2 linked regions of the Astyanax mexicanus genome follow. The protein of the gene in region 2 interacts with the protein of the main gene of each other region in a pairwise test. Links are inferred from orthologs where the notes say so. Each region holds a gene or a part of one and is shown on either strand. Other genes may lie near its edges.

The links. The genes of interacting proteins can lie anywhere in the genome.
Region 1: the proteins of lrp2a (region 2) and mapk8ip2 interact in a two-hybrid assay, tested with the Homo sapiens proteins (2 studies listed by BioGRID). The link is inferred for Astyanax mexicanus from reciprocal best matches to the Homo sapiens genes LRP2 and MAPK8IP2.

The regions. Positions count from the first base shown.
Region 1 is NC_064416.1:15,328,479-15,336,154, reverse strand, and holds the start of mapk8ip2 (C-Jun-amino-terminal kinase-interacting protein 2), read left to right. Parts: upstream 1-4,653; 5' UTR 4,654-5,055; coding exon 5,056-5,120; intron 5,121-7,676. UniProt on the Homo sapiens protein: The JNK-interacting protein (JIP) group of scaffold proteins selectively mediates JNK signaling by aggregating specific components of the MAPK cascade to form a functional JNK signaling module.
Region 2 is NC_064418.1:37,581,666-37,588,618, forward strand, and holds the start of lrp2a (low-density lipoprotein receptor-related protein 2a), read left to right. Parts: upstream 1-3,933; 5' UTR 3,934-3,948; coding exon 3,949-4,117; intron 4,118-4,792; exon of another isoform or gene 4,793-5,026; intron 5,027-6,953. UniProt on the Homo sapiens protein: Multiligand endocytic receptor. Acts together with CUBN to mediate endocytosis of high-density lipoproteins. Mediates receptor-mediated uptake of polybasic drugs such as aprotinin, aminoglycosides and polymyxin B.

The sequences.
Region 1 (7,676 bases), on a different chromosome or scaffold from region 2:
GCCGCTATCATGTCGTCAGATTTTGGTGCCAATGATTGACGCGCAACCCAGCCAATCACAACACGCGAACGTTGACTCGCCAGAGCATGCTGGTGATTGATTGGATGTGATTGGAGACGCAGCTCCGCCTTCTAAGACGAGGACTGCAGATTGGCCTGTTTAAGCTGCAGCTTGTGATTTGTGGGAAATTGTGTTAAAAAAAAGCAAAAGCACAATAAATAAATAAATAAATAAATAAATAAATAAATAAATAAATAAATAAATAAAAATAATAATAATAATAATAATAATAATAATTGTTATTATTATTATTATTATTATTATTAAAATTGTTACTTTTTTGTATATTTGAATCTATATCATTTGGGCATGGAATTCCACAGGACTTAAATATAAATAAATATAAAAAAAGGACGACACATCTGGAATTTAGCGTTCTTTTTTAATGATCTGCATTGTAGAATAAAACTAAAGACATTAACACTTTAAAGAAAAACATATAGAATTATTTAGTTACCGAAAATATTTAGTAAGCAACACAGAATATATATTTTATCATTTTTATTTCTGATTATTTCCCATTTTCTCCCAATTTAGCTAGGCCAATTGTTCTACCCTTTTAACTGCTACTTAGCTATATATCCCCATCACTAGTGATGCCACAGCACAAGGAGGGTGAGACTAGCACATGCCTCCTTGCTGAGTAGCATCACAGTGCACTTGGAGAAAAGCGCAGCAACTCGATTCCCATACATCAGCTCACAGACATCTTGTGCTGATCAATATTACCCTAGGAGGGATGAGGGGAAAGAGTGCCATCTTCCCAATTAGAGAGAGCAAGTCCAATTGTGCTCTCTCTGGGCTCCGGCAACTGATGGCAAGCTGCATGACTGGGTTTCGAACCAGCGATCTCCCTATCATAGTGGCAGAACATATGTTTTATATTTTAGATTCTTCACAGTAGCTTTTCACATCTTGGCTTTATAAGGTAGAGTCACCTGGAATGGCTTTCAGTTAACAGCTGTGCTGAACTTGTCAAGAGTTAATTACTTGAATTTCTTGCTTCTTAATGTGTTTGAAAGCATCAGTTGTGAAGTGGTAGAGTTGGTGTACAGCGAATAGATCTATTTGAGAACTATTCTAATCCATATTATGGAAAAACTACTTAACTAAGTCAAGGAAAAAATCCTTAAAAAAGTAAGGTCAGTCAATTTATTACATTTCAAACAAGCAGACATGCACTCTATTCAGTATAATTATTCAATTGTATATAGGCTGGAACTAGCTGATTAAACAAGTAGAATCGAGTGTGCTTCTGATTTATTGGAATGAAAATCTGCAACCACACCAGCCCTTCATGGATAAGAATGGTGGCCCATGCTTTTGACCCTACTGTGCCCTAACTGTGCTAACTAACACACCTGCAGATTGGAAACATCAGATCCTATTACAGTTAGGCAGCAGTAAAAATTCCGGCTGTGTCCCAATTGCATATAACATACTAATAATATTGGCTATATACTGTATACTAATCTTAATAGTGTGGGTTTGGCAGGTTAGTGCACACAATATTAACATTGACAAATTTCCATGACTGATAAAAACAGTAACAGATAGCAAAAATACCTTAGATCAGCATTCAGTTTTCTAATTTATTAAAACAGTTTGGATCTCTGACATCTGAATTCACGCTCACACACACACACACACACTCAAACACACACACACACACACACACACACACAAATACTGACAAGTCTGCACATCTGAACATAAAATTGCTCACACAGGAAATACCATGGCCTCATACGACCTTCACTACATTTAAGGGAACACCTTGTTCCCCTGCCCCCTCTCACACTTGCATCATATTTCCTATTTCATGACGTCATTACTTGTCCATACAGCAGGGGGCTCCACTTTTCTACATCCCTAACATTCCTCTCCATGAGATTTCAGCACCAAACTGGTCGTGAACAGCTCCTTTCTTTATGGCTGCCTAACTGAGACTGCAGGGTTAAGGGAATAAATATTGTGTGTCTTCTTTAAGGGATAATATATGAAGGCCAAAAAGCCTGTAGACCCAGGCCCTGTACATCTACAGCTACATTATGTTGTCTGTTTGGAATCTGTGTGAATTTCCTGTGTGATATCAGCCAAAACACAAATGCCACCACATCTGTACAGTTTGTCAATTTTTGTCAAACATATTGTAGATACTATACAATATTAGTGTGCTCACCATAATTTTCTTAACCATGTAGTACACAAGGCTATGTAGGGAGCAGGGTGCTATTTGAGATGTGGCCTTACAGATGACAAATCGTATTATGTCTCCAGTGATCTGATTGGCGGTGAGATCTTCCTCTGAAACTGCAGTGCTTTTCACGCTCTGCCCACACGCAGCAGCATCTGACGCATTCGTGGTGGGGACAGAGACCCATCTGTCAGTAAATTCCAAATGGGGTATGTTTTTTTCTCACACCCATATTCAGACTAAGCCCGCCTTCTAGTCCATGGATCGGCTGTTATAGGAGCAGAGAAGCCTAAAAACCAGACTACACCAACTGGTGGACAAACAGAAACACACACACATTTGGTTGGTGTACATCTGTTTGAATTTTGAGTGTGATCTAAATGGTTAAAAAAGCCATCCCTGAATTCAAAACAATGACAAAACTGATCTACCTGTTAACCTGCCAGACCCTTATTTCAACTACTTTAGTGCTGGACAGAAATAAATACATGAAGACTTTAAGCTTTTAACCCTCCTGTCGTGTTCACCTCCTACCCCTTACTTTAGTGTTCCCGGTCAAATTTGACCGGTCAGTTTTAACTGCTCTTAAATTAGCCCATAAACCATTTTTCACCACCAAATTTTTATACAAATTTTTTTTAGCTGTGAACAATGTCTCAAAGCAGTGTTTAACCTGAATTTATAGAATTATACATAAGATAACTGCAGTGAAAGTACAAATAGGCACTGAAAATGTATTACAAAATGAACGTTATAAATAATACATTGAAAACCAAAGACAAAACTCAACATGAAGGTGTGTGTGTGTGTGTGTGTGTGTGCATGTGATCTCATGCACATGAGTGGCATGTGACACTCAGGTCAGAGTGGGCCTTGCAAACATAGGCATCATATTTGCAGCACCTCAGGCCTGTTTTGTTGTCTCTAAGGGCACAGAGCTTACATGGGTATTCCAGACATAGCTGCTCCTGGCATCACTTGGTGCCCAGATCTTTATTCCATATTTCCCTGTTTTCCATTTTGTGGCCTCATTGTATGGGAGATATACTCCTGCTAAAATCAACAGACCTATGTAGGCTTGGAGGTCTACCAGGTCGATTTCTCTTCAGGTGTCACCAAACACATGCTTCCCTGTTTGTCATCTCCAGTATAATTCCCTCAATGAACTCTGATAAAATAGTTGGAAGCTAAACTTGATGTCATCCACATGAGATGACTGAGTGAGTGAGTGTGTGAGTGAGTGAGTAAGTGAGTTGGGGTGGTATGTATGAGGATATTTTCTGTCTGATGAAAGAATATATTCTGGTTACCCACTGATTTCCTATGCCGGTCACATTTGACCGGGAACACCACAGAGTGTTGAATAAAAGGTTGAATAAAACCCTCAAAATTCAATGAAAGTGGTGATCATCACTTTTATGTGTTCAAGTGCATAGTGTGGAGGATATCATAACGCCTTGAGGCAATCAGATGTAAAACACAATATTTATGAGTGTTTTAAGTTGTAAATCGGTCAGATTTGACCCGAACACGACAGAAGGGTTAAAGGTACAGAGCTATTCACTGAATACCAACTCTTTACAATACGACTGATGCCCTCAAACACATTTAGAGGGAAAGCAATTCAAGTAAGTATCTCTTCACGATTTCAGCACAACTCTTAACTGAAAGCCATTCCAGGCTTTCCATCCAGACATTCCATTTTTACTACCTTCTTGCACTTTGAATTTTAACATTTAATTACTCTTTTATTATTGTGCTCTTTTTGTTTTGGTTGTTGTTTTTCTGGTTTTGTATTTTTTTCTTTTGTTTGTTTTGTTAATTTAGCATTTTATATGTTTAATTCTCAATGGGATGGTGTTCCCCTTATTATTACATCAACCATGTAAAGTTTTTTTTTCTCTTTCCACTAAAAGCAGGGATAAAAGTGGTTTTGACAATTTATTTTTAGGAACCAAAGCAATTGGTAAGACAATTTAATTTTTCTAAATATATTAAAACAGTGTTGCTTTGACCCAATTCCACTGCATAAAAAAATAAAACATTGATTTTGTCATTGGTATATTATTATCCCCCACAACAAAATAAAAATAGTAAAATAATAATTAATACCATAGAAGGATAAATAAAGCTTTTTTTTAGTATATATTAATTATATATTATATTTGAGTAATAATCAGTTTCATTCTACGCATAATAACTAGTAATCCACTAGTAATCCATTGCTGCGTGTAGTTAGTTAGTGACTCACAAACAGTCCGTCAACTCTGCTAGCCAATCGCAGCGGAGAAGGGGCGGGGCTTGTCTGAATGCGGGTGGGAAAACGCGCAGACACGCTTCCCAAATCGGCGCACAGCGACGTTACGCCCGCCCCGCCCTCTCCAAACACCCTCCTCATCCCTCCCATCTCCTCCTCACCGCTGGCACCAGCTCAGCCTGCGCGAGCCGCCGAGCATCCCAGCGTCCGACAGTCCGCTCTGCGCGCGCGCGTGTGGATGGCAGCATCTGAGGGACCGCAGCGGTGATCCTCGCGCGCATCCTCACTGCTGTTCGGGTGATTTGGGCATCGTTTGGGAGGGGGATCCGGTTGGATGGCAGGGAGCGCGCGCGCGTGATCCAGAGAGGTTGAGGCCACTAAGCTCTAGCATCTGCAGTGAGAGAAAGAGAGAGAGAGAGAGCGAGAGAGAGAGAGATTGAGAAAGAGCTGCTGGTGTTGATCTACCTCCCCACCGTCTGTGGATGGGCTGCGTTCAGTCCGCCCCTGCAGTCGCTGCTTAGAGAGTCCTCTGTGGAAGAAGATGGCGGACAGAGCGGAGATGTTTTCTCTCTCCACCTTCCACTCCCTCTCTCCTCCGGGCTGCAGGTAAGAAACGCAGCATCCCCCCGCTCCCTCCATCCCTCATCCCTCCCTGCATCAGCACCCAAAAGCTCCCCCTCCCTGCCCCAGCTCTGCTCCTCTAAACGCTGCTGCTACTGGAGCATTCCTCAAACCCCATGTTTGTTCTAGCCTCAAGGCTGCATGTTGCATTTTGCTGGCTTCTCCCGGCTGTCCTCACTCTGCTAGCTAGCATTTGTGAAGGTTCTAGGCTGGGTCTAAGATGGGGGAATGGAGCAGGATGGGAAGATGCGGATGAAAGGATTGATTTTCCCACTATTTTTGGTTGAACATCACATAAGTCCTTGGCGCAGGCTCAGTCAGTTTCCGTAAGGAGAGGCCCACGCCCTGCAGGGCAGTGATGCAAACTGCAAACACACATCCTCATCATACTCATGTATACCTATATCATCCTATACAGCCTTGTGTCTTAAGCTGGTTAAGATGGTTGACTAGCATTGGGTATGTTTTTGTTTTGAGTTTGTTGGTTTTAGCTCCTCTACAATCATGACAAAACCTGACAATGCTAAATAATCAGTACACAGCTTCAGTTTCTCTAGGGTTCTCTAGGTTTCTCTGAGTAAACATAACCTTGTTGTTTTATTCTATAAACTGCAGACAACATTTCTTCCTAATTCCAATAACAAAAAAAGATGCAGAGCTTTCAGACCACAAATAATGCAAAGAAAACAAATTCATATTCATAAAGTATCAAAAATCAATATTTGGTGGAATAACCCTGTTTTTTAATCACAGTTTTCATGCATCTTGGCTGGTTCTCCTCCACCAGTCTCACACACTGCTTTTGGATAATTTTATGGCACTCCTGGTGCAAAAATGCAAGCAGTTTAGCTTGGTTTGGTGGCTTGTGATCATCCATCTTCCTCTTGATAATATTCCAGAAGTTCTCAGTTTGGTAAAATCATCCTTTTTAAGTGGTCTCCTATATTTTCCAGAGATGTATATGTCCAAGCTTGACCAGGCTGGTCAAATAGCATGATCAAGCAATTATCAAAATCAAATGCAGTATACATTTTGCAGGTCAAGAGCTGGTTAATCAGCTAGCTTACATATAGGTATTTACAATGATATTGGAATTATAGTGTGAGATGTTTGTTTTTTTTAGAATGGCCAATATTTAAAAAAAACAATACTTGCTGACTTATTTATTGTATGTCAGAAAAGAACCAAGCGATGTTTCGTGCGCTACTTCAGTTGGCCGACACTGACCACACTACTTAAAAATTATTTGTTGTAAGCTAGTTTTTACAATTTTAAGTTATTCCTGGGTGTCTAGTCTCTCTGCAAGTTATAAATGTATAAATCGTCATCTGTATTGGCAGATATGAATATGTATAATATTGGTGTATCCTTACTTCCATGCATAGAGTATGTGTTGATCAGCATGACAAGCTTCCTAACCATTAAAGACCAGCAGGGAAGTAGAAACGTCTTTGTATTTTGGGTTAATATTAGATACTTATTGGAGTTCTGGAGGTGAAGTGCACTCCATTTTCATGCTCTCAAAGCTGTTTAGACCTGTGGCTCTCAGTCTTCATGTGTGTCAGAGGCCTTAAACGTGGTAGGCCTCACGTAGTCCAGAAGAGATGATTAAAAGGTTTCATTCCCCTGTTTGAGGAGGATGCTCCCTTCAGGCACTGGACATCAGACATCGGACTTCAATATATGTCCAATGCTGAATAGATGCTTCTGTGTTGGGTTGTGGTTACTTAAGGCAATAAGGCTTAAAAACTTCAACATTTTAACCTCTAATAATGTTAGAATGTCATGTCTAGTGCGAAGTAAGCTTACCTAACACCCTGAAAATATCTGTATCTGATGATGTTTGAATGCCACATCTAGAGTACGTTAAATGGCTATTTTGATAATCGTATTGGTAATGATTTTCAATGTTAATATGCCACATTTGGAAGATGTTGGATTTTGGTTGCTTGTTGTATGTTGTCAGAAATTTTGGTAACTGAAAGGAACAACATATATTCACTGAGATATTAGCATCTATTGATGCTATCTGGGCCTTTTCACTATATACTTACACAGATAGATACAAATATGATGACTATGATAGATATGAAAGTGAATATTCTCAAAGTTGTAAAATGTATAATTGTTTCCTGTACCATAATTAAGTCCAGTCATGGACTATATTGTTTGTTTTATGAATAATTCCCATTCAAAATGCTGTGCAGTCCTGGGATAAGCTTATAAAGCTCTGCATAACATTATAATACATGCAGATAAGCACAAATACAGTAAGCAGTAGGCAGATCATGTTGTTTTTTTTTTGTAAACACACTGATACAGCGTTTTAGTTGCTGACGTCTTTGTGAACTCTAGACACTTTTAGGATTAGCTCAGATCCACCTGCAGCTCACGTGACTTACTGTAATGTAGAATTGATTAGATTAACCAGGCCTTGGTCTAAATCGGCACGCTGCTTTACCACAGTTTTAAGTGTTTTAGACACGCTACATAACTATAAGAAATTGCATTAATTTTATTATTAAGTTGTATGATTTTAGA
Region 2 (6,953 bases):
CCAGTCTCTCTCTCTCTCTCTCTCTCTCTCTCAGTGCTAGTCTGTGCTGAGCTGGAAAGTTTCTCCGGTTGCTATGGGTTACAGAGATTCGCACAGATTTCCGTACTGGCTTGTAAATAACTGTTACGACGGTTTGCCGTAAAATATGGTGGTTTAATCAAATCATTTGTTAAAATATATTATATATAAAATATATAAAAAATACTGATCTGTGTGTAAATGTTGACGTTGCAAATGCTGATCATGTGAAATCAGCCTTTTCTCCACTGGCTGCAGCTCTGCATCAGAACCTTATACCCATAATAAATGCAGACCAGGAACACTAGATGGCGCCATTGCTAAAGTTTGGTTGTTGTTTTTTTCTTTTTAATTGTGGTTATTGTATATTCCATTATGGTACATTTAAAATCCGTAAAATCGCACAAATAATAAAGACCAGAAACATCCAGCACAAACATTTGAAAATACACAAAAAAATGGTGTCATGACAAAATATAGATCAAGGTAGGTAATACTTTAGGTTAAATAAAAAGAACACAGCTAGTGTAAGCTAAGGCACATTTTAAAAAACAGAAAACTTTGGAGTTTTATTTTTCAAGTCAACATTCTTAATAGAGAGACAATTTTGGAGATCGTTCCAGAAAGTATAAGACAAGAAAAAAGAGATCAGAATGAGTAAATTATTCATTATAAATTATACAATTTTTGGGGAAATCACTATGCTCACAGTCCTCATGCTATTAGCATATCGACCATTGAGCAATTTTTCATGTTTTCTGCTAATTGTATGCTAAAAACTAATTCCTGTTACTTTTACTAAGTCCTGTTGCTAACAACATGAAAAGTAACAGGAATGAGTGCTAGTAACAGGAGTGAGTGCCAGTAACAAGAGTAATGAGTAATAACAGGAATGAGTATGGTCCCCTAGTTTATTGATGTATTAATATGAATGTAAGTTAGTGTAATACACTTTTTCCAATTCTGTTTGGTTCGTCATTTATCTATTTGTTTAATAAAATCAAATGATAATAAATTTGAAAATCAATTTCAGGTGTGGGTCTTCTTGATAAGATAAAAATGGCCTTGCATGCATAGTGATTTTTTTTGTCATAAATATCAATTATTTGAACATGGAAAACAACCCTTCTTTCAAATAAACACTTTCTTGAGAGAAAATCAAAGGAATTAGTGGACTTGCTTTTAAACATGCTTTTCAATGTCACATGAGTTTTTGTAACAGGGCTGAGAAAAAGTTAACCATCCTTCAGCTTAGAAACCTTAAAGTTAAAATAAACCGAGGACTCCCTCTAGCGGTTGCAGTAATTTTCTGATATAACGGTGGATGTAGGAAGTGGGTAAGCTCTTAATAAACCAGCTCTGATTCAGCTGCTCTATGAGCGGGAAAATAAACGCACGAGCCACCGGGTGGGTTAGGAACATACCTGTCAAGTCTCCCGTTTTGGCCGGGAAACTACCGTATTTTACTCCTCTTTCCCGCCGTCCTCCTGTATTAGTATTTTCCCGTAAATTTCACGTATTTTATTAAAATAATAAAATATATATTATTGAGGAGACAGGGCACTGACCGCTCTGTGTCTCTTAACCAATCGTGGAGCCGGTTCAAGGAGAAAGTCCCGCCTTTCAGGAGAAACAGCCATTCAGCTTGCAAAGGAGGGTCAGTGTGGGGAAGCCCCCCGTCGCTGTGAGTTCAAGCAGCTAGTCGGAGCAGCTGATGTTAAAACATATCTGGATATTCAGCGATTTTTCTTAAAGAAAGGTAACGGTATAGGCTAATCATGGAAACTGTGATGAGATTTTTCTGATAGCTGCTTAAAAATACTCGTCTCCGAAATAAAACACACAGATTAAACCTTTAAAAAAAAAAAAAATACAGCTTGTGAGAGGACCGAAATTATCTGAACTGATCAGGGGTGGAGTGATCAAAAGAAAGAAGTATTCATTAAAAGTTATTAATTGTGTAGGCCCCTTAGGACTAATTTTTACTGATGGAATATATCTGGTCCATGTCCTTTTAGTAAAAGCTCATGATACTATTTTTAGGTCACCAACAGTCATTTTGCAGAATTTGCGCACCCTTTGTTCAATTTTAAATCCATTAAATAAATAAAAATATATCATATAAAAGAGTGCATTTATGCCAAAAAATACATGAAATCTTAACTTTTTTTTAATATCTAGAAAAGGGTTTTTAATTTGGCTGTATTAAAAGAATGACATATGTAGGAATTTCCACAACATTTCAGATTCTGATAATCTAATTGTAGTGTGTAGGTGGTTTACATGTGTCTTAAAATGTAAGGGATACTGAACCTTCGTTGGGCTGGTGGGACGGCTTTAAGCGGACAGAGGAAAATATCCCTTATTTTTAAATCTAAAACTTGACAGGTATGGTTAGGAATAGTCTTAGCCAGTTAACTGTAACTAACATTCTGACAGAAGCTGTATTTTTTCTCAGTTCGCTGGTTTGTAGTTAATTTAGCTAGTTTGTTTATCACAGTATTTAGCTTACCAGTATAGTTACATACTAATTTTATATTACACTACACCACAACCTGATTGAGGAGGCGTAGGTGTTCCTAATAAAGTGCTTGATGAGTTTATATTAGATTGCTATTTGTAATGCTGTATCATTTGTGGCCTTGTAAATGTAGATGGTCCCACATTGTCAGGTTTAACTGCATTTCCTGTGGTTTGTGTCTTTCTGACTTGTATTCTAGGTTCTTGTAAACTTGTCCCATGAAAGCTAAAGAACTGCTGCACTAACCTGCAGGATATTCAGATGGGAAGTCCTTGTCTGTTTGCACAAAAAAATGGTTATACTTTAAGTCTTATACAGTTGCTATTAGAAATTATAAAACAGAACACACACATTTAAATAAGCAATAAAAAAATATACTGTAAAACAAACAATATTGTGTAATTGTGAAATCCTTAACTCATTTGAAAAAAGCTGTTGTAAGCTGTTTATATTGCTTGCAATTTAGGTGAAGCAAGCATGTGTAAAGCATTTTAATGTAAAATTGCTTAATTTTGCTGAATTAAATACAAGTAACAAAGTAAACGAGTAACAAAAATATGAACACCACACAAGGTTTAACCACTACCTCAAATCAGAAAAATTTGTACAGTATGAAAAATTCTATATATTATTTACATTGTAAATCATTACTGAAGTCATCCAGACTATGACGTAAAAAATAAGGGTTCATGTAGTGAACTTAAAATGCTAAACAAACCAAAGTACTCTGTGAAGCATTTAGGTAGGCTTTTACCTGGGGTGCTGTTAACTTGCGGTTTCTGATAAATTTATTGTCGTGAAATTGTTCAGATTGAATGATCTTCATTTCTTAAAGTAATTTTATTACTTTGAATAGGTCTTGGCATAATATGAAAAGAAAATTGCTCAAATAGGGCTATTCACTGTATACCAACTCTACCTCTTCACAACTTCACAAATGATGCTCACATTAACAGGGCAAGAGAGGACAAGAAATTCAAGTAATTAACTCTCAAAAAGTTCAGCACAGCTGTTAACTGAAAGCCATTCCAGGTGACTATACCTCATAAAGAGAAAATGATACTGTATGTTAACAAATTAATAGAACTTGACTAGATACAATATGAAATATCATAATATTGCTTATTTATTTGCATTTTTTATATTATTTGTTAAACGTATTTAAATGTATGCATTTTAAATACAAATATTAAATGTAAATTAATAAATCTATGTGTAGGTATGGTGAACGAAAGAGAGAGAGAGAGAGAGAGAGAGAGAGAGAGAGAGAGAGAGAGAGAAAGAAAGAGAGAGAGAGAGAGCAGTCATTAGGCAGTGATCTGTGGGTGCCAGCTCAGGATTTGATCCTAGGAGCCGGAGGTGGGGGGAGTGTGAGTGTGTGCCTAAGCTTTTAGTAAACGCCCTTTTCCATGAGGCCGGACACAGAGAGGGTGAGGCGAGCGGTGAGAGCATCTCAGTCCCAGCAGCTCCATCTGGCCGCTACTGCAGGGGCTGCACACCGCACCAACATGCAGCCAGCACTGCTCGGCACGCTCGTGCTTCTGCTAACTTTTTGCACTCTGCGCTGCAACTGCCAAGGTGAGTTTATTTCATTTCATTTAGCTAACTCTCTCCATGTCATTTATATCTACAAGTCTTATACCCTAAATCACCGAGAGACAGTGTTTTAATGTTGTGCTGGAGCCTGAGATAACAATAGATGTTCATGGTAAGGATGCTCTTATCTAAGGAAACTTAATTATGTCTTAATTGCATTAGATTAAGTGGAAGATGACCTCTTATGGCGTAGCCCAGTTAACTGCTAGTTAGCTAGCTAAAAGATCTAACTAAAAATAATAAGCTGAGTGCTTTATCAGTCTGTGTAGATACTGGACTGTTAGCTAGTTAATTAAATACACTCGTCACTAGCTAGCTAACTAATAAGGTTGTCCAGCACGAGACACCGTTAGACAGTTAGATAGTTTAGCTAGCCACTGATACAAAAGTTTGATAATGGAAAAACTATTTTAAGAACTAAGCATCAATGTTTGCTTAAGTAACGTTATTCAATAAATTGCTGTTGGCAACAGTTGTTGGAGGTAACTTACCCCTTACTATTTGTCACTTTTTTCTTACTATTTCTCAAAATACAGGTTTCTTAAGCTTACGTACTCAACAGACAGATGTGTAAAAATCTATTTCTCGATGTTTTAAGGCGTTAAACTAATCCATTCTATAGTCTTTTGACATTATACATAAGAATTGTTCGTTAACCTGCTGCTGGTGCACAAAAGCCTGCCTGCCTGCCTCTCTCTCAGACGGACCCGAAGTTCTCCCGGGCTGCTGTCCAATCAGCCGCACGTGTCGTTTTGCGCACTAGGTAGTGTGGGTTTAGCGACTGTGTGGTGACATAGCTTTCTACACTAGACACCGCAGTGGCTGTCGGACACACAACGCTCAACAGCGCTCAGCGACTGTATGAATCGCTGTGGAAAGTAACGGAGCGCCCCGCTTCGAGCACTACCGCGCACGCCAGAAGTGTGCTACCTAGACCGCAAGCACGCTTATTGGAGCGCGGCCCTCGGCAACTTTTTGCCTAAGCTTTACCGTTGCTAGGCAACCGAGGCGAGCATGTGACTAGCAGACAATCTCTAGACCCAAAGCCAGGAGTACAAAGCTAATTCAAAGCAATTTGAACGCTCTGCTTAGTTTTCAGGGAGACCAAACCGCTTAAAGCCTCTCTCGGACTGTTTATGGATACTCCCCAGCACGACTGGGTGACCCGCAGGTGCCCGAGGTCTGACAACCTTGAAGGTTCCCGTGTCTTCTGGTGTAAAATGTTGCTGGAGCTGGCGAGGCTCTCGGATTGTAATCTGCTTTCTTTTTTGCCAACCCTTAGTATGTAAGCTCCTTACTGTGAATCAAGCCACTAATTACACTGCAGCTGCCGTTCAGGGCGACCATTACTGCCCCGTGGAACTGAGGGACTGGGAAAGGGGGTGCACTGTCGTGACTACCTGATTGAAAACATGTTGTTTCTTTAAAACCCTTATTTTAAGTCCCTTAAAAATTGATGATCAAGTTGTTAACCCTAAAGCAAAGACTATTACTGTATATCTCTTTAATTGATTAACTTTCATGGAGTTCCACACGTGTCTATTTTAAGGCCTATAAATATAGCTGGGTAAGAGGACAAAAAACTCATATAACTTATTAAGTACCCTAAAAGTTAAGGATCACGTTGTTAACCCAAAACCAAAGACTATTACTGTATAGCCCTTTAATTTATCAACATGCTGGGTCTATTTTAAGGCCTATAAAATAAAGCTATGTGATATGACTAAAAAACTCATATTACTTATTAAGTCCCTTAAATTATAAGTCGCAGATCAAGTTTTTAACCCTAAAGCAAAGACTATTACTGTATAGCTCTTTAATTTATCAACATGCTGCGTCTATTTTAAGGCCTATAAAATATAGCTATATGATATGACTAAAAAATCATATTACCTTTATAAGTCCCTTAAATTAAAAGTTGCTGATCAAGTTGTTAACCCTAAAGCAAAGACTATTACTGTATAGATCTTTGCCAGCTTATGTGCAGAGCCACAGGCTTCTATTTTAGAGCCTATGAAATAGGGATGTGTGATATGTATGAAAAAAATCCCTCATATAACTCATTAAGTACTTTAAAGGTTGATGAGCATGTTTTAAATCCTAAAGCAAAGACTATCCATTTAAAGCTCTTTTTCTATCAGGGCCTAAGAAGTAGGGCTTGGGAGATATGACTAAAAAACTCATATCTAGATGTATAAGAGAAATGGCGATATTTTACAACATAAAACATAAAAAACATATGTAAATGTTGTATATGTAACAAGCAAATATTTACATATTAAATTTATGTGCATAAAATTACTGCACTCCCTTGTGATATTTCACTGACTTAGCACACTGCACTGGACTATGTTTTTAGCATTATTGAAGTGAAATAAAGTCATCAATATTTCTCCCTTTGATTGCATTATTAGCATGAAATAATTTGCACAAGTGTCATGTGTCATGTCTCCAGGAACCAAGCAACCACAAATGTATGTTCTTTTTAGGAATATAATCATACACAGATGGTAACCTCCCTTAATCTTCATTTATCTTTCAGAAAATAGTTGCAAGTATTTTGATATTTACAATATACTGCCCAGTCATAATATAAAAGTGATTTATTGTACAGGATTTAGAGGCTTTTAAAGGGTTAAAGAAGTAAAACTATTCTGCTATGCTACCTATTCAAAAATTGTGTACAGCGCTAAGATTATTGTTTTGAAATTGTTACTGCTGGGCATTAAGCTTAATTTTTCTTGGCCCTTGGACGTGTTTATTCTAGTGATCTGTTATAATCTTTCAGAAATACTATTGCAATCATTGTAGTCATGGA